Linked DNA regions of Arabidopsis thaliana. The protein of the gene in region 1 interacts with the protein of each later gene in a pairwise test. Each region holds a gene or a part of one and is shown in the gene's direction. Other genes may lie near its edges. The genes, in order: ARF8, IAA8, IAA19 and IAA1.

The links.
Region 2: the proteins of ARF8 (region 1) and IAA8 interact in a two-hybrid assay, tested with the Arabidopsis thaliana proteins (3 studies listed by BioGRID, with this or other methods).
Region 3: the proteins of ARF8 (region 1) and IAA19 interact in binary tests that used the Arabidopsis thaliana proteins (3 or more experiments, as listed by UniProt).
Region 4: the proteins of ARF8 (region 1) and IAA1 interact in a two-hybrid assay, tested with the Arabidopsis thaliana proteins (3 studies listed by BioGRID).

The regions. Positions count from the first base shown.
Region 1 is NC_003076.8:14,627,727-14,634,989, forward strand, and holds ARF8 (auxin response factor 8), read left to right. Parts: upstream 1-1,726; 5' UTR 1,727-2,424; coding exon 2,425-2,467; intron 2,468-2,551; coding exon 2,552-2,661; intron 2,662-2,750; coding exon 2,751-2,849; exon of another isoform or gene 2,850-2,955; coding exon 2,956-3,012; intron 3,013-3,088; coding exon 3,089-3,244; intron 3,245-3,337; coding exon 3,338-3,422; intron 3,423-3,703; coding exon 3,704-3,794; intron 3,795-3,865; coding exon 3,866-4,030; intron 4,031-4,114; coding exon 4,115-4,237; intron 4,238-4,349; coding exon 4,350-4,425; intron 4,426-4,553; coding exon 4,554-4,701; intron 4,702-4,933; coding exon 4,934-5,907; intron 5,908-5,995; coding exon 5,996-6,186; coding exon of another isoform or gene 6,187-6,190; intron 6,191-6,262; coding exon 6,263-6,380; 3' UTR 6,381-6,728; downstream 6,729-7,263. Other genes in the region: AT5G37030 (P-loop containing nucleoside triphosphate hydrolases superfamily protein), read right to left, coding at 6,888-7,263. UniProt on the Arabidopsis thaliana protein: Auxin response factors (ARFs) are transcriptional factors that bind specifically to the DNA sequence 5'-TGTCTC-3' found in the auxin-responsive promoter elements (AuxREs). Seems to act as transcriptional activator.
Region 2 is NC_003071.7:9,634,371-9,639,286, forward strand, and holds IAA8 (indoleacetic acid-induced protein 8), read left to right. Parts: upstream 1-2,009; 5' UTR 2,010-2,267; exon of another isoform or gene 2,268-2,437; 5' UTR 2,438-2,506; coding exon 2,507-2,527; exon of another isoform or gene 2,528-2,735; coding exon 2,736-3,253; intron 3,254-3,350; coding exon 3,351-3,580; intron 3,581-3,676; coding exon 3,677-3,818; intron 3,819-3,904; coding exon 3,905-3,966; intron 3,967-4,045; coding exon 4,046-4,089; 3' UTR 4,090-4,375; downstream 4,376-4,916. UniProt on the Arabidopsis thaliana protein: Aux/IAA proteins are short-lived transcriptional factors that function as repressors of early auxin response genes at low auxin concentrations.
Region 3 is NC_003074.8:5,262,336-5,266,241, forward strand, and holds IAA19 (indole-3-acetic acid inducible 19), read left to right. Parts: upstream 1-1,665; 5' UTR 1,666-1,764; coding exon 1,765-2,173; intron 2,174-2,766; coding exon 2,767-2,860; intron 2,861-2,952; coding exon 2,953-3,043; 3' UTR 3,044-3,360; downstream 3,361-3,906. UniProt on the Arabidopsis thaliana protein: Aux/IAA proteins are short-lived transcriptional factors that function as repressors of early auxin response genes at low auxin concentrations.
Region 4 is NC_003075.7:8,359,370-8,362,561, forward strand, and holds IAA1 (indole-3-acetic acid inducible), read left to right. Parts: upstream 1-1,626; 5' UTR 1,627-1,812; coding exon 1,813-1,970; intron 1,971-2,062; coding exon 2,063-2,411; 3' UTR 2,412-2,664; downstream 2,665-3,192. Other genes in the region: AARE (acylaminoacyl-peptidase-like protein), read left to right, coding at 2,756-2,889, 3,186-3,192. UniProt on the Arabidopsis thaliana protein: Aux/IAA proteins are short-lived transcriptional factors that function as repressors of early auxin response genes at low auxin concentrations.

The DNA.
Region 1 (7,263 bases):
AAATCAATCGTTGAGTTATATAAATGATTGCGACGTATCGCACGATATTACCATCGATAGAACGAAGGAAACTTCCATTTAGCAGTTTTTTTTATTCAAAAAACATATCTTTCATATAATAGAAGTGGAAAAGTTACACCAAGGAAAATTGAACCTACAATCGAAATAAATGAGATAACAAAAGTATTACAATAAATTTATTGAAAGACACCAAACCAGATGAATGATCCGTTGAGCTATCCAACAAGGGTCTAGATGACATTGAAGAATGTTAATGATAAATAATGAGAACTGAGGCTGGCTTTGAGGATGAATTATGCAATCTTGCATTGCGCTTTTTTCCATATGGAGTACAGTGAGGCTTGATAGGCAATTCGAAGAATCAAAGTAGTTTTCTTGTCACGACAAGGATTCTTCAACCATCTAACTTCATCCTCAAATTGATTTAGAGGAGAAAGATGGGCTTTATCATAGAAATAGTGTCATACCTTTGCAACATAAGAGCAGTCGAAGAATAAATGTTAGCGAGATTCATCCATCAAATTACAGAGAAGACACGACGAAGGAGTAGTCATGCCCCATCGAATCATTTTGTCTCTAGTGAGAAGTCTATGATGAGACTTTAGCCAAGCAATGAAAGCATGCTTAAGAATCCTTCCTGGAAATCACACAGATTCAAACCGATCCATCTTTGTGTCAGGAGGATGAAGATGTGCATAAGTTTTTTTTTGAATATTAATGTGCCTAAGTTTTAGCAGCAGAGAAAATATTTGATGCATGGATATCATCACCTTCCAAAGGTAAACATCATCCTCTACATCCTCTTGTAAGTTAACAGTAGAATAGGAAGGAAGACATTCTTTAAGCAACTGAATAATGGGACTGCGACTTCGAGAATTTGTAAGCCACTATTGTCTCTTTCTCAATGCATCCGCAACCACAACAGAACGAGGGAGAAGAGAAATTCTTAGTCATAAATCTTCAGGTTAGCTCGACAAATATGGTCCCAAAAAAATCCAATTATCAGTCCAGAAATTACAAGTTATTTCTGAACCAATTTCACAAACGATGAAAAACCTAGTTAAGGGTCTTAACTTGCAAAGATTATTCCAAATCCAGCTTCTCCAAGTGATACACTCCATATCCCAAATTTTTTAAAAATTATTCAAACAAGATCCATGTGTATTAGTTTTCTCTTTTGGTAAGTAAAATAGTGGTATCCATAAGATGTTGGATTATCGGGCATCTATTTGCTAATGATTGTTTCTAAATTAGAACTTAGATTTGCGAATCTAATAATACATCACTTATCAATAGATAAACCTTTGACCATTTTTTCAACGAACTCATAAAAGATCCAACAAAATATTTTTTGAGTTATTAAATTAAATACTACTATAAATTATCTTTAAATAAATCAAATTATGGGAGTATTTGGTGTTTCTTTCATCAATGAATGGAGCAAAAATAAAAAGTATTTAAAATAAACAACGCTAACATTTATGACAACTCTATTATCTCTCTCTCACTCTCTCACTTCAAATACTATAATTCATTGTCCTTTTCATCGAATCCAAGACCTCAAAAAAAACAATTATTATTTTTCAACGATCAAGATCTCAAGAGTCAAATCCAACGGTCAAAAAGAAGTGACTCTGGTACTGACACCACCTCTCATAATTCTCGTTAGTAGGACCTCTCTTCTTCTTCCTTCTCTCCACTGTATCGGATCCGGGTCAAATCCGGGTCGGGTGGAGTCGGGTCGGGTCTCTTATAAGAGGAGGAAAACCACTTACTCACTTTCTTCTTCTTTTCTCTCTCTCTTTCACCCCCACGCACTCTTCTTTTCTCTCTCTGACACATATCTTTTTCTCTCACTAACCATTTCTTTCTCTCTCTCTCTTCTGTTTTTGAAAGCCAAAGTGTCTCTCTTGGACAGTGATGGAACTGCTTCAAGAGATTTAATTTTTTACCCACGAGAGAAGTCAAGTTGTTGAAGAAGAAAGATTTGTTCTTTTGTCTTGTTTCTTTCATTTTTTCATCCACAAAGATCTCAAAGACAAGAGTTTTTTTTTTTCTGTTGGGGTTGCTTCAATGCGTACTTGTAGTAGAGAGCTTGTGTTGTTGTTCATGGTTTGATGATGAGAAGAAACAGATTCTGGTTTTGAAGAAATGGGGTTTGTTCTGTTTCTTGTGTTTAAGGGTTTTATGGATGGTTTTTTGATTCGAAGCTTTCACTGAGTCTTATGGTTGTGAGTGAGATTTTTGGGGGTTTGAACAAAGGAGATGGAGAAAGACGAGTTTGTACTTCCGGAGCTAAAGAGTTATAGCTACTGTAGTAGCTGGAAGTGAAGAAGATTTTTTAATAGATTGTACGGAAAAATTAGGGTTTTCAAAGTTTGGTTTCTTGAAGTTGAATTAGACATGAAGCTGTCAACATCTGGATTGGGTCAACAGGGTCATGAAGGTGACTTGTTTACTCTCTGATTTTCTTAGTTCTGTTTCTGGACAAGTGTTTTCTTAGTTCTTGTGTCTGTGTTTGTTCTAACAGGAGAGAAGTGTCTGAATTCTGAGCTATGGCATGCTTGTGCTGGACCATTAGTCTCTCTTCCATCATCTGGTAGTCGAGTTGTTTACTTTCCACAGGGTCACAGTGAACAGGTTTGGGTTGTTGTTTAAAAGTATGGAGCTTTATTTTTAGACTTGTGTTATATTTGGGCATTTCCATTTAAATAGAAGTGTACTTGTAGGTAGCTGCTACAACTAATAAGGAAGTTGATGGTCACATACCCAATTACCCAAGCCTACCACCACAATTGATATGCCAGCTCCATAATGTTACAATGCATGTGCGTAGTTAGTTCCCTGTCCCTTTCCATATTCAATTTTTACTTTTGTAAACTAGTTTTGGGATGATGTGCTTTGTAAGTATGGGTTTCGTTTCTACTATTTCAGGCAGATGTTGAGACGGATGAAGTCTATGCTCAAATGACACTTCAACCATTGACACCGGTAGATACATTATACATAACAGGTTTTTGAGTCTGTGAATTAATAACTTAAGCTTTAGGATTGGTGTTGTTTATAGGAGGAGCAGAAGGAAACATTTGTACCGATTGAGTTGGGGATACCGAGTAAGCAACCTAGTAATTATTTTTGTAAGACTCTCACAGCTAGTGATACCAGTACACATGGAGGGTTTTCTGTTCCTAGACGTGCTGCTGAGAAAGTGTTTCCTCCATTGGTATTATACTTTTTCTTTTACTTACTTTGCTATAAATTGTTGTTGAGAAAATATATGTATTCCTTTTAATATCTTGTGTCTTCCCTGTTGCAGGATTACACACTGCAGCCACCAGCTCAAGAACTGATTGCAAGGGATCTCCATGATGTTGAATGGAAGTTTAGGCATATCTTTCGGGGTAGGTTTCACCTTTCCTCGGTGTGCGTTGATGATCCCTTTTTAACTGTAGTCGCCAGTGTAAAAATTTCAATTGGCTGTTAAGTATGTCTGAAGCAGCATCTGCTGTTATTTTCACTACTCATGTGTGGTTTAGTTGAAGAAACCACGGAGGCTCTGTGTTCTTGTCGTTGTCTATTATAACGTGGAATTATTTACTTGTTCATATGAAGTTAAGTTGATTTGAATCCTTCTTCTTGGTTTGTTAGGAATAACTTACATGGTTTTGGTGTGATTATGCAGGACAGCCCAAACGGCATCTCCTAACTACTGGATGGAGTGTCTTTGTCAGTGCCAAGCGACTAGTAGCTGGAGATTCTGTCATTTTCATCAGGTTTAGTTCTTTTGTTGTACGTTCAGTTTGTGGATTGTGATTATATTTGTAACACTATTACTTGTTTCCAGGAATGAAAAGAATCAACTCTTTTTGGGAATTCGTCATGCCACTCGGCCGCAGACTATTGTACCATCATCTGTTTTATCTAGTGATAGCATGCATATTGGACTCCTTGCTGCTGCTGCACATGCTTCTGCAACTAATAGCTGTTTCACTGTTTTCTTTCATCCAAGGTTGAAAAATCTCTCCCACCTGCATCTTTTTCATCTCTCGGTATATCCGATAATATATCCTACTAATATTCTCTTCATGTTCAGGGCTAGCCAATCTGAGTTTGTGATACAACTTTCCAAGTACATTAAAGCCGTTTTTCACACGCGTATTTCAGTTGGGATGCGCTTTCGCATGCTCTTCGAGACAGAAGAGTCGAGTGTCCGCAGGTGATGATGCCACATATCTGGAAATGCAATCTTGAAACTGAGAAAACTATATCATTATGTTACACATATTACTTTAACATGTTTTCTGACAGTGGCATGGGGAACTTTCCAGGTACATGGGTACTATAACTGGTATTAGTGATCTAGATTCTGTTCGTTGGCCAAACTCTCATTGGCGATCTGTGAAGGTAACAACACTATTAAGCCTGTTACCTTATTTAAATTCCATGGAACGTCACACAGCTTTCTGATGATTTAGTCCAATATTACTCTGAAATTCCATCAACATTGATGAACTGTGGCATTATTGGTGTAGGTTGGTTGGGATGAATCGACTGCAGGGGAGAGACAGCCAAGGGTTTCTTTATGGGAGATTGAGCCTCTGACTACCTTTCCTATGTATCCATCTCTTTTTCCTCTCAGACTAAAACGTCCATGGCATGCTGGCACATCATCTTTGCCTGGTATCCACCTTTTGGCTCTTCTCCTAACTGTTATTAACTAGTATAGTACGTTCGTGAAGTCTCTTACTGTCACTCAGTGTTTCTGCTATTGTAACTTAGTTGCTACTTCGGATAAATAACAAATGTTCGATTGAGTAGAGCTCTGAAGAGGGTCTTACTGTTATAATTTATTTACAAAGAAGTGTGTAGGTACTCTCCATAGCTATTTACTCAAAACATTATGATGTTACAGATGGAAGGGGTGATTTGGGAAGTGGTCTAACATGGCTAAGAGGGGGAGGTGGAGAGCAGCAAGGTTTGCTTCCTCTAAATTATCCATCTGTTGGTTTGTTTCCATGGATGCAACAAAGGCTGGATCTCAGTCAAATGGGGACTGATAATAATCAGCAATACCAAGCAATGTTAGCTGCTGGGTTGCAGAACATCGGCGGTGGAGATCCTTTAAGACAGCAGTTTGTACAGCTGCAAGAGCCTCACCACCAATATCTTCAACAATCAGCTTCCCATAATTCTGATTTGATGCTTCAGCAGCAACAGCAGCAACAAGCGTCACGCCATCTCATGCATGCTCAAACACAGATTATGAGTGAGAATCTTCCGCAGCAGAATATGCGACAAGAAGTTAGTAACCAACCAGCTGGACAGCAGCAACAGCTACAGCAACCGGACCAAAATGCATATCTTAATGCTTTCAAAATGCAAAATGGCCATCTTCAACAGTGGCAGCAGCAATCAGAGATGCCATCTCCCTCGTTCATGAAGTCAGATTTTACTGACTCAAGCAACAAATTTGCAACAACTGCTAGTCCGGCTTCTGGAGATGGCAATCTTTTGAATTTTTCTATAACCGGTCAGTCTGTACTCCCTGAGCAGTTAACAACAGAGGGCTGGTCTCCAAAAGCATCCAACACTTTTTCTGAACCGTTGTCACTTCCACAAGCCTATCCTGGGAAGAGTCTTGCTCTAGAACCCGGAAATCCGCAGAATCCCTCTCTTTTCGGTGTTGATCCCGACTCTGGACTCTTCCTCCCCAGTACGGTTCCCCGCTTTGCTTCTTCATCAGGAGATGCTGAAGCTTCCCCTATGTCACTAACAGATTCAGGATTTCAGAATTCCTTATATAGCTGCATGCAAGACACAACTCATGAGTTATTGCATGGAGCTGGACAGATTAACTCGTCCAACCAAACCAAGAACTTTGTAAAGGTGCTGGTTTGTTCTAGGCTCACCGACTTCTCTGTGGCTCTACTGTCTCTAAGAAAATACTGATATGCTTACAAATCCAAAACTGCAGGTTTATAAATCTGGTTCGGTTGGGCGTTCATTAGACATCTCCCGATTCAGCAGCTACCACGAGCTGCGAGAAGAGTTAGGGAAGATGTTTGCTATCGAAGGGTTGTTGGAAGACCCCCTTAGATCAGGCTGGCAGCTTGTATTCGTTGACAAGGAAAATGATATTCTTCTCCTTGGTGATGACCCATGGGAGTAAGTAAAGTACTCTTCTTCTATTTGTATACATTGCTTTAGATTTGAGATAGATCTTTAAAAGCTTGTTCTGCAGGTCATTTGTGAATAACGTTTGGTACATAAAGATACTATCACCAGAAGATGTGCATCAAATGGGAGATCATGGAGAAGGCAGTGGTGGGTTATTCCCGCAAAACCCGACCCATCTCTAGAAGCTGCTTCGGTGTTAGTCTCATCATGCTACAACGCGGGAGCCCTTTGTTTCCCATTTGAAGTCGTTTCCACTCATCTTTATATGCCATTCGTTCGCATCTCTCTCGTTTTGACGTTTTTAGAAAGAAACATAATCATATTTGTGAGTATGGGTCCTGAAACTTTAGGACGTACTTTAGCTTGTATTAGACAGACACTCTCGTCATAAACATAAGAACCTTTATGTAGCTGTCTCAGGGTAACTAAACTTTTCTAGTATTTATTCTTATTCTATTTTTGTAACAACATTGTTAGACATTCAGTTTGGTCAGACCAATTAGATTCCATAAGGTGTGAAACCAAAACCAACCAAATCTTTAAAACACAACCATTAATCACAAAATGTTACCAAAAGCTTCTACTAGTAACTTAGGTTGAAGAATGACATAGATGAAGTACCAACAACTCATTTTCTCCCTTTCTTTTTGACCCAAAGAGTACTTAAACGTGCACACACATCAGACTTATCAACCTTGGACAGCATTCATGGCATCTCTCAATCTCTTATCATCTTTAGCATCATAGAAGCATTTACGTCTCTTCGAGTCACTTATAAGGTTTGCCCAAATCGAACCACTCCGAGCCAGTGTTGACTCATTTCCAATCACCCATAAACAGTGCCTAGCTCGAGTGAGTGCCACATTGGCTCTTTGACGGTTACTGAGAAATCCAACCTTCCCGTTACTATTACTTCTAACGGTAGAGATGATGATAATGTCTTCTTCACCACCTTGAAACCCATCTACAGACCGAACATTCACAGTGAAAAGCTCACCTGATAAGGAACTGTACTTATCTCTGATTCTCTCTTGGATTGCTCTAACTTGTCCTTTGTAAGGAGTA
Region 2 (4,916 bases), on another chromosome or scaffold:
TTTGATGTGAGCTAACAAAAATCGTATTTAGTCATATGCTTGTCGTATTGTCCAAAACAGTCTTCTTTTCTCTTTGTTTTATTGATTCTTTGACTGTGTCTATGTGATTAATTCTTGTATTTGGCTAATAACAGGTTTTATTAAGCAATCTCTAACTTGGCCTTATTTCTATGTATAGTTATTTGCAGCTGATCTTTTACAAAAAATGGACAATGAAGACGAATGTACTTATGGTGGTGAAGGTGGGCAAACATCAGCAGATACATCACAATCTAAAAGTTTAGTAAGTGCTTCTCGTTTTAAAAGAAGTAGAACATCAGATATGTGGGATTACTTTACACTAGAAGATGAGAATAACCTCGTGATTTTCCCGCCAAAAAAACGTAACCTCGTGATTTTCCCGCCAAAAAAACATGACCCCGTGATTTTCCCGTCACAAAACGTAACCTCGTAATTTTACCGTCTAAAAATGTAAACTCGTAAAAATTTCTGAATCAATAAATATCTCAAATTTAATAATAATGAATTAATGATGATGATAATTATTTATTATTGTTTTATAATAATAATTAATTAAATTATTATTTAAATGGTTAACCCATTTAACAACTCAACCCATCAAATGAAATGAGTTATGGGTTAGACCCAACTCATTTAACAAAATGAGTTGGGTCAACCCATAACTCATTTAATCATAAACTCATTTGATTATGAGTTGGGTTGGGTTGGGTTACCCATTTTGACACCCCTAGTAACAACAGAATGAATTTTGTTTATAGAGACAAAAAAACATGAAGTAATGAACATTAAAAAAAATCTTAGTAATATAATGGGTTCTCTAATATAATCTAACCTTCGAGTGAGAAAAAAATGAACATAAAAAAAAGAAACAAGAACAATAAAAAGAGTGGGAGACAAGAGGGTGATAAATGGTATAGCTACGGGACGGTGACGTATGATGTGAAAGAAAGGAAGAGCGCGGGTGATGATGGAATTAGGTGACAGGCATGTGAACAACAGTGAAGCTGCAAAGCCTGATTTGGTTGTTTCCCTTCTCTTTAAGCGTGCTTCCAACGTGTCTCTTTGATCATGACCTTCTTCTTCAAATATACAACTCTTCACTTCTATTTTCATTTGCTCTCATTTTCACATTGATTGTGTTCTTAGAATTTTGTTCCTCGTGCAATCTCCTCACTAGTTTAACTAAATAATTATACATTGATTTTTGTTGTGAGTCTACTTAAATTATGGTATCTATTATTGTACATTTCATAACTATACCACACCAAAAGTAGAGCATATTAAGCAGCCGGCAAAACAAAGTTCAATTGCTGCTTTCTTGTCTCTCTCGTATCATCACTCTCCTTTGCTAATTGCTCTCAGCCCATAATTATAAACGAGTAGAAGAATATTTAACACTCTTTTTCGTAAATTTTCATTTTTTACCACTTGTTAAATGCTCTGTCTTACTTTTTTTTTATCCATTGTAATTTTCATTGGCGGTATGCATATTTTTAGACAGACAAAATTTAAACCGATACGTGGTCCCATAACTATTGAAACTCTGATTATAATGGAAAACATATTAAATTTATAGGTATTTTAGACCACTCAGCCTCTTAAATATTGGATGGTCCCATTTCTATCTAAATCATTTTAACAACAACAAAAGAAAATATACCATAAAACAATCTGATTTGATTTTACTTATTGCTAAAACCATATAATAATTTTAATAAAATATAATAAACACACGCATGTTATTTGTGGACCTACAAAATAAAATAAAAAGAATAACAGAGACAAAAAAAAGTCATTTCAAATATATAAATCAAATTAAAATTAATAATATTTTCATGTTTTTTTAAGCTTCCTTACAAAACAGAAACCTGAAACCATGTTACCTATAACAACGACATGTATTTATTATTATTTCTCCATTAGATCTAACGACTCAGAATCACTCTCACTTACTCATTCTCAACCGTCAGATCTAACTACAGTACTCCACACCACATACGAACAAACCTAATCTATCCTTAATACCCTTACTTTTGTAGTTTATTACTAAATTTACCACTCCTTCCATGTTTTTGTTTCTCTCTTCTTCTTGATTGTTGCGCTTTTGTTAGCTTTCTCTGGTTCATTTTCCATGGACGGACCTTGACCTCTCTGCTTCCCTTCGTGCATTTTCTCTCTCTCACTATCCTCTCTCTTTCTAGTGTTTGTTTGATCCTCTGCGTACTCTGTTCTTCTTCTCTCTTCAGGTACTAGTTTCAATTTCTCTAAAAGGAACTATTGAAACCTCCTTCTCTAGTTTCAATTTTCAATCTGGGTTTGTTTGTTTGGTTCTTGTAGCTTCTTTGGATTCATTATCATTTGGGTTTAGTTTATTTTTCTCGTAAGTAAGTGATTTAGTTGTGATTCTGAATTTTAGGGAAATGCTGAAGAAGTTAGAGTAAGAAATTTTTGGTTTTTGAATGGAAAGTGATTGATTTTGGGGAAGATGAGTTCTGGGAACGATAAGGTTGAATTCTGGCTATGAAACCTAGGTTAAAGTTTCTAACTTTATCTTACTTGTTAAGCAAATCTAACCCAATTCTCATCTGAAACCCTAATTTTTCTGGGTTCTTCTTAAAATTGAGAATTTTGTTCATGCATCTATAGAAAGTGAAGATTTTTATGTAATTAGATTGATTTTGGGTTGTTCTTCTTGTTGTTGTGATGCTAAGCAGATAAAACAAGTCCTGCATATTGAAGATCTGATGTCTTATCGATTGCTAAGTGTGGATAAGGATGAACTGGTTACGTCACCTTGTTTGAAAGAACGTAACTACTTGGGTCTCTCTGATTGTTCCTCTGTTGATAGCTCAACTATTCCCAATGTTGTTGGGAAGAGCAATCTCAATTTCAAAGCTACTGAACTGAGGCTAGGTCTTCCTGAGTCTCAATCTCCTGAGAGAGAGACTGATTTCGGTTTGCTGAGTCCGAGAACACCCGATGAGAAGCTTCTCTTCCCGTTGCTACCTTCTAAAGACAATGGTTCTGCTACTACAGGGCATAAGAATGTTGTTTCTGGTAACAAGAGAGGATTTGCTGACACTTGGGATGAGTTTTCGGGTGTGAAAGGATCTGTTAGACCTGGAGGAGGAATCAACATGATGTTGTCGCCGAAAGTTAAGGATGTCTCGAAGAGTATTCAAGAAGAAAGATCTCATGCTAAGGGTGGCTTGAACAATGCACCAGCTGCCAAGTGTGTATTATATGATGATTTGTTTATGAGTTTGTTTATGAGTTTGTTTATGAGTCAAGAACGAATCTTGTGGTAATCTGTGTCTATTGTTTTGCAGGGCACAGGTTGTTGGTTGGCCTCCAATCAGATCATACCGGAAGAATACAATGGCTTCTTCTACTTCGAAGAACACTGATGAGGTTGATGGGAAACCTGGTCTTGGTGTTCTGTTTGTGAAGGTGAGCATGGATGGTGCTCCGTATCTGAGAAAGGTCGACTTGAGAACTTACACTTCCTATCAACAGTTGTCTTCTGCACTTGAGAAAATGTTCAGCTGCTTCACCCTTGGTGAGAATTTACTATGTATTTAAGCTAATCATTGATTCTACTGTAAAACAGAATGAACCAAAGAACAGTGATTTCGATTCTTGTTTGTGATCTCAGGTCAATGTGGTCTTCATGGTGCTCAAGGGAGGGAAAGAATGAGCGAGATTAAACTGAAGGATCTTCTTCATGGATCAGAATTTGTGCTTACTTATGAAGATAAAGACGGTGATTGGATGCTTGTTGGCGATGTTCCATGGGAGTAAGCTTCTTTTGGAACTCTCAGCTTTAATAACTGTGGTTTTGTTTCCGTTCAAAAGTTGAATCCTTGTTAAAACCTATTTGCAGGATATTTACTGAAACATGCCAGAAACTGAAGATCATGAAGGGTTCTGATTCTATTGGCTTAGGTAAGTTTTCCAACATCTTTCCCCCTAATCTGAATACAAACTCAATGGCTCATTTCATTGTTGATTTATTCTGTGGCAGCTCCAGGTGCAGTGGAGAAATCGAAGAACAAAGAGCGGGTTTGAAACGAAGATGCTCAAGACAAAAAAAAAACACTATGCACAGTTCCAATGTTTAAGTTTTATTTACTGATGTGTTTGAAAACTCTTTAGTCTTTTTACTAATTTGTGTTGTAAGACTTTGGATTCTCTTATTTGTGTGTGCTTGTTCAAAACAAATACATTCTTATGTGTGTGTTTCTACTTTGACCTTCAAGATATTTCGTCTCTACGCAAAATCTTGATTTGTTTATTGTTAGCACTTAGTACCAAAGTCTATAAGTGATAATTACGATAAAGAACCTTTAACCACACAAAGTGGAATCTCAAATGATGGTTATTATCTTTAAAACATGAAAGTGTGTAAATCTGGATAAGCTTTAGACTAATCGCAATAGTGTCTTCTACAATATTCTTACAGATTAAATACTAGAAGAACAAAAAAAAAATGTAACTACATATATATATTTTTTTTGTTTTCGATTTTTTTGTAACATACATATAATAACGTATAAAGAAGACTGGTGAGTAGGAAGAGTAGATAAATAAACCTCACCTTACCGAAATAGAGGGCATATCAAATACATGTGGAGCAAGAGTGGATGAGATAGAGAGAAAGGAGAACATTTATGTAGTGAGCAAAATAGAGTTTGACAAATTTATAGTCTCATACTTCTAATAGAGGTAGATGCTAACATAGCTACCCAAACGAAGGAAAGATAATAAAAGAATGTGACGCATAAAAATTTGAATTTTAGCAAACTTCTTTTGAGAATTGTGAGCTCTGTTAACTCGTATTTGTAAATTTTTTTTTTACTAACATCTAATTTTATTTATCTTTGAGCTCCAAATTT
Region 3 (3,906 bases), on another chromosome or scaffold:
AATTTCATGGTGAAAAAGGGGCTTCGGATGAAATTTTTGATCAAATTATATTTGTTTATTGATAAAACAAACGTTTTTTTTAAAGGATGACAGTTGTGCGTTTGAGATGAAAACCAAACACTGCTCCCACTCAAAATTTGTAAAAATGGAATTTATAAATATTTGGTGCTACAAATGTCGTTTGGTAGCCTTTGGAAACATTAAAGGTAAACTAGAGATATGGGAGTATGGAACTTAATCTCTTTATGTGGTTGTATTTCATATAATTTCACGTGGCCCAACTTGTTTCTGTCAATCCATTGATCAAAGTTGGTAGACAAGAGTGAACCCACACACACTCACACACATACACACGGTCGATCTTTTTTTCTATTCTCGTGTCCCTACGTCCTCTAAACCCCATCATTATACTTCTTGTGTTTTATTGGTATGCTGAGCTAGAGATAGTTAACAACTACCCAACAATGCGGGTCTGGCTTAGTTTGAACCTATTCGAAACTAGTTATACTCCGCTTGAAGTCATTGGTTCGAGACTAACTTTGGAGATGAGTATCATAAACAGCTCTAACTTAAGATTACAATACATCCTCTTGTTAGTCTAAGTTGAGAGGTGTTGCCATTGACTATATATTTCTTTGGGAATTTGGTTTACCAGGATGTTGCAAAGAAGATTTAAATAGTTATAAATTAGTACAAATTCAATCCATATGATATGATATTCAAAAAACAAAAAAAAAAAAAAACTGATCTAAAAGTCGAACCAAATTCTAATTTGATTAGAGCATGTATATAATTGAATCCCTAAGTAAAATTCAACCCAATACTTGAGAAGGTAGTTATATTCTTATAAATTATGGATATGATTTGATTAAAACTCAAACCTGAACCCAAAACATACTAGAATATACGTTTTTACTTTGTAACTATTTGTCACATTCCAAAACTAAACTCGGTACTATATTTGATTCTGATCCATACAAATTTTGTATATCTGGTTTATATTCTCCATGTGAGATTAAAGCGGTGACCAATCAAAATCATTGCTGGAATATCTTACTATTAAGCTAAATGTTGTTAGTTATATACAAGCCAATCCAAAAAAACTGATGCAAAGAGAGATAAACGAACATATCCCAAAATGGTAGGATTTGATTTAATATTCCCATCCTCTTATTAGAAATGCAAACAAATAGACTATAGTTTTATTTATTTATTTTCACTATAAAATAACTAAATAACATGAACTTATTGAAGAAAAAGTATACTATAGTTGTGATTCTGTGATATACTAGTTAGAACAAGAATCTTTACAAAAAAAAAACACATGGGATGTTAGGAGAAGGAGATTCGGATTCCAATGATCCAACGGTCAGAGAAAAATCAGAAGAAAATTTCACAACCGTAGGATCTGTTCCCTTAACCACCTTGTAATGCCGGTCTTTATTAATTTTGAGAAAAAAATAAAAACAGCACCAAACTTATGTCTCTCATGTGACCGACCACCGCATCCTCAGTTGACCTGTCTCTGCCCCCACTTTGTCTCCCCACACAAACTGAATAACAAGAAGAAGAAGACTTTAGATATCAAATGACTCCACGTGTCGATATTGGATTGGTTTTCATTGGTTGTATCGTGTGGACCAACGAAGCAACATATAAAAAGCACGACGCGGTGCCATTACTACAATAAGAGAAGTGTAGGAGAAGAAAGTTCTCATTTCATAATTGTATCAAATTGTGAGAGGAAAAAAAGAAGTTCAAGAAATGGAGAAGGAAGGACTCGGGCTTGAGATAACGGAGCTGAGATTGGGGCTTCCGGGGAGAGATGTGGCAGAGAAGATGATGAAGAAGAGAGCTTTCACGGAGATGAATATGACGTCGTCGGGTAGTAATAGTGATCAATGTGAAAGCGGCGTCGTTTCATCTGGTGGTGACGCTGAGAAGGTTAATGATTCGCCGGCGGCGAAAAGCCAGGTGGTGGGGTGGCCACCGGTTTGTTCTTACCGGAAGAAAAACAGCTGTAAGGAAGCTTCGACCACGAAAGTGGGGTTAGGGTATGTGAAAGTGAGCATGGATGGTGTGCCTTATTTGAGGAAGATGGATCTTGGTTCGAGCCAAGGCTATGATGATCTAGCCTTTGCTCTTGATAAGCTCTTCGGTTTCCGTGGCATCGGTTAGTAACAATTATGTTCTCTTCCCATAAAAGTAGAGTGGTAATTAGATCATGTGGAAAACAACTAATTATATATAGTTTACAAGACGTCCGATTAAGAACTTAGAGTGTTGTAGTCTTGTAGACGTAATGGAGTAGTATAGTTTAGTGCTGTTCTTTCTTTTTATGTCTACAACCAAACCAACACCCCAATTTATGATACAATGACAACACTAATACAAATATAGTTAGAATTTTGGTTAGCAGTTGAACTGATTGTGGTAGCAATGTTATAGATTTTAATTTAAAGTGTTATGAAAGGACAAATATGTCGAGATTTTTATTAGTCATCTCAGGAAATTTATTTACTTGTTCTTAGAGACTTAAGACTAGTCCTAATTTAACTGGTTATTTTTCTCCAAACTGTTTTGAATTATCTGAAAATTATCTATCATAGAAAATTAGAGGTTTCGGTTACTACATATCCGTAATTTCTAAAAATCAGAATTTATGCACCACTTGTATAGTTGTATTGTTAATTAGACTTTTCTATATACCGAATTCGCCATATTATCAACACAATTTTAAATTTACATATATACATATTTGTGCAGGTGTGGCCTTGAAAGATGGTGACAACTGCGAATACGTTACCATATACGAAGACAAAGATGGAGACTGGATGCTCGCCGGTGATGTACCTTGGGGGTATGTTCTATCTTTTGACTTAAGATATCTCACTACAAAAAGAAAATGTATCACAAACTAAAGTAAATGAGTTTGGATATTTTGATTTGCAGGATGTTTCTAGAGTCATGCAAGAGGTTGAGAATAATGAAAAGATCGGATGCTACCGGGTTTGGGCTGCAGCCTAGAGGAGTAGACGAGTGATGATGACTTGAACAAGAAGCAAGGAGCTGGTTCATTAATTTAATCTTAAACTTGATCATCAAGATCCTTTAGAACATTTTTCCTATTCATGTTATATAAATATATATGTTATAGTATATTATTTTGCAACAAAATTTCATGTTATGGTTTTGCATAATTATCTTCAGAAAGACAGCTATATATATATACACTACTTGTTTCTTGAGTGTTGAGTTAAAACATTAATCTGTTTCAAAATTTATTGTTATTTCGGATCTATATATGTGTGTAGAAACATATGTAATAAGTATCCATTATTTCATCTTTTTAAAAAATAATAATTATTATTTGAATCTTTCATTGTTGATATGTTATGTATACCTGTGTTTTGGAAAAAATATGGATATTATAAGCAAATCTAAATAGATATTTATAAAAAAAGTCTACGTAAAACATTCGTTAGTTTTTACTTCTACTTCAGTAAGTGACATCACAAATCTAAATAGATGTTTTCATAAGTATATAAGTGTAAGATAAAAACAAAGAATTCATTCTTCCTTTTTTTTCTCTTAGAGTTATGCTTGTATAATTTATTAGTACTATAAGATTTTTACTAGTAAGTTTTTATTCCAAATATTCGTATACCTCCGAAGAAATTAGTTAATTCATAATCGTAATTTCACATTCAAAGTTAAGATTGCTTAATTTAAAGATTTAAGCTTATTCTTCATTTTTTTTTTTTTTTTTGTAATGATTCTTTTTATAGATATGCACATCTTGCTTTTGATAGCATAAGTACTATCAATTATAGAAAACACCGACATGTTCGGTATGTCAACCTAGTTTTTGTTTTTCTATATTGTTGTTCTGTACAATAAAATTAG
Region 4 (3,192 bases), on another chromosome or scaffold:
TGAGAGGGATTTCCAAAACAGATTTAACAAATGTTACTTCTTATAAGCATACGTCTTGTTTTATATTGAACACGCAAGCCTCTAGCGACTAGCATCTCTGTATTTCATGATCAAGTTTATACATATACTTTTTTATTTGTTATACTCTTTATGTTTTTTTTAATAAAAAAAATTGTTTTGGATGAATATGAAAAGAATAAGAAACTAGAAATAACTTTTTGATTAATAATAGTTCAATAATATGAGTACTAATTATTAATTTAAAACACAAATGTTGTATGGAAAAACAAAAACAACAACTAAAATGACAAAAAATTGTTCAACCATCTTATAAACTTTAAACGTAGGGAGCATTACTTTATACTTGTTGTAAAAACGATAATGCTTATTGGTAAAATAACCCATATACATTTTGATTTGTCAATATGTTCATATATGATCTAGTTTTTGTTCTCGTTGTCGCTAGATAGACAATAAAATTTCTTAGTGGACAGTGATTGTGGAATGAATATACGCCCAACACAAATATAAACATCAAATTAAGGTGCATGCGGTATGGGAATTGCAAGTTAAATGAACATAGTTATGCGTAATTTCGAGAAGGGATTAATTGTATTACCTTGCTCGAAATACCACATGGGCCGTGTCCCCAAAAGCCCATTTAAAATGGTTTTTTTTTTTTTTTAAATCATCTCTTTAGATATTTTTTTCAACTCTTTTTCAACAAAATATATAGTTTCATATAGATATTTGTATTTATAATAAATGTTAAAATGAAATTTTACACAATAATTAAAATAAAATAAATAGAAAAAATGTTATTTGAGACAGCATATCACATGGCCTTACCATACTTCCTGCATCCATTATTCCATTAAGAACACTCTTCACCCTCATCCACATGCATCTCCCTCCCCAATTTATTTACTATTGATCATAATTGTACAAACCTATACTTACAATTTATATATGTGTCTACGAGAAAATAAATAATATTTTACAGTGTTTTGTCTATTATTTTGTTCTATAGTTTCTTGCAAACAAAACATTACTTTTCACGCAAAAACTGTCGAAATATTTATAAAAGGAAATTGTTAATTCTTCGATACAAATTGACCATTAATATTTGATCATCTATTCTAGACATCTACTCTACCATATACCAAACCTTTACACAAAAATGAAATATTTTCATGAAAACTACCCCACAACTGGGGTGATCGAAAAAGCTTGATCTATATGATCAACATGTCCAACACTAGTTTCATTTTTTCTACTATGATATCCGATGATCCAATCTGAACTATACAAAATGTATCTAGATATTTTCTTGAATCAATCCGAATAACGAATAGTTGCAAAACATAAACCTAGCGTGATCGTGTGGTAGAAGGACGAAGGTCGAGAAGTTCTCTTACTCTTATGATTTTCTCTTTACTCATTTGACCGTAAGAGAAAGAAACGGCTAGGATCTCGCGTACGCAACTGGCGGAGACAAATCAGGACCGTTGAAAATAAGAAAGAAGCCGCGTCCAAAATCTTTGTGTCCCACCTTTGTCCCCTTGCCTCTAACTTGCCTCCTCATGCTCCCCGACAACGTCATAATTCATATCTCTCTCTCTCTCTCGTTAACCCTAATTTCAAAGCATCTTTCCTTATATAAATCTCTCTCTCTCCCTCACCATTACACAACACACACAAGCATTTTCAAGGATATCAAATCACAATCCCAAGAAGAGCAATAACAAGAGAAGAAGAAGTAGTTCAAGAATTAAGGAAGAGAGCTTCTCCGTTAAAGTATAGTGAGAGAATATGGAAGTCACCAATGGGCTTAACCTTAAGGACACAGAGCTTCGTTTGGGATTACCCGGAGCACAAGAAGAACAACAACTAGAACTTTCTTGCGTCAGAAGCAACAACAAGCGCAAGAACAACGACTCAACAGAAGAATCTGCTCCTCCTCCTGCAAAGTAAGTTGAGATCTGAAAGTTATAGTTTTAATATCCAAACTTCTTGATATCAATCGGTGTACTAATAATGAATCTTGATTTGTAAACTTCAGAACACAAATCGTTGGATGGCCTCCAGTGAGATCTAACCGTAAGAACAACAACAACAAAAACGTGAGTTATGTGAAAGTGAGTATGGACGGAGCTCCATATCTCCGTAAGATAGATCTCAAGATGTACAAAAACTATCCAGAGCTTCTCAAAGCACTAGAGAACATGTTCAAGTTCACAGTAGGTGAATATTCCGAGAGAGAAGGCTACAAAGGATCTGGATTTGTACCTACTTATGAAGACAAAGATGGAGATTGGATGTTGGTCGGTGATGTTCCATGGGACATGTTCTCTTCATCTTGTCAAAAACTCAGAATCATGAAAGGATCCGAAGCTCCTACTGCCTTATGATCCATTGTCTCAAAACACCTTTTGGTCGAGGCAAAAACAAATTCTACTTTGTTTAGATAAAAAAAAGTTTGGTGTAAAGAAAGAAAAAGCAATAGGGTTACAAATACGTTATATAGATGTAAACTAGCTTTGGTTAATTCTGTAAAAGATGAGTTTTGATTATACGAAGTTTATATGTATGCTCAAGATATTTGATACTAACATAACCAATAAAGTTTAGTATTTGATACTAACATAAGTTTGGGACATAGTGAAAGATATAAAATTTTGGATTAAGAAATGGGCAATGTAATGGATATCACTATCGAAAGTTTTCAACTTTTTTTTGTTTTGTTTAATATTAGATGGCGAGAATCTTTAGTCACTACCCAATAACTTGCTCCACCAATTTGGGATTTGACTTGAGCTCTTCTCATCGTCATCTTCGTCGCCTTCTTTTCCGATCTACTTTCATCACTCCTTCACTCACTCAGTCTCCGTAAGCTCTTCTTCTTCTTCTCTCAGTCTCTGTTTTTCAATCCGAAAATTCATTACTTTGATGGTGTTACCACGAATTGAGAATCATTGATGGTATTGCTTTGATGGGTATCGTTTATATGACAGTTTTTAATCCGAAAGTTTATTACTTTGATTGGTTTTTTGTTTGTTCTGTTTTAACGAATTTGAAGCCAATCATATCTACTAAGAACTTGATTGGTTTAGAGTTATGGATGATGAATCTGATTAATGGAATTGTTTTGCAATCATTAGTGATTTATGAGATACTTGTTTCAGTTACAAG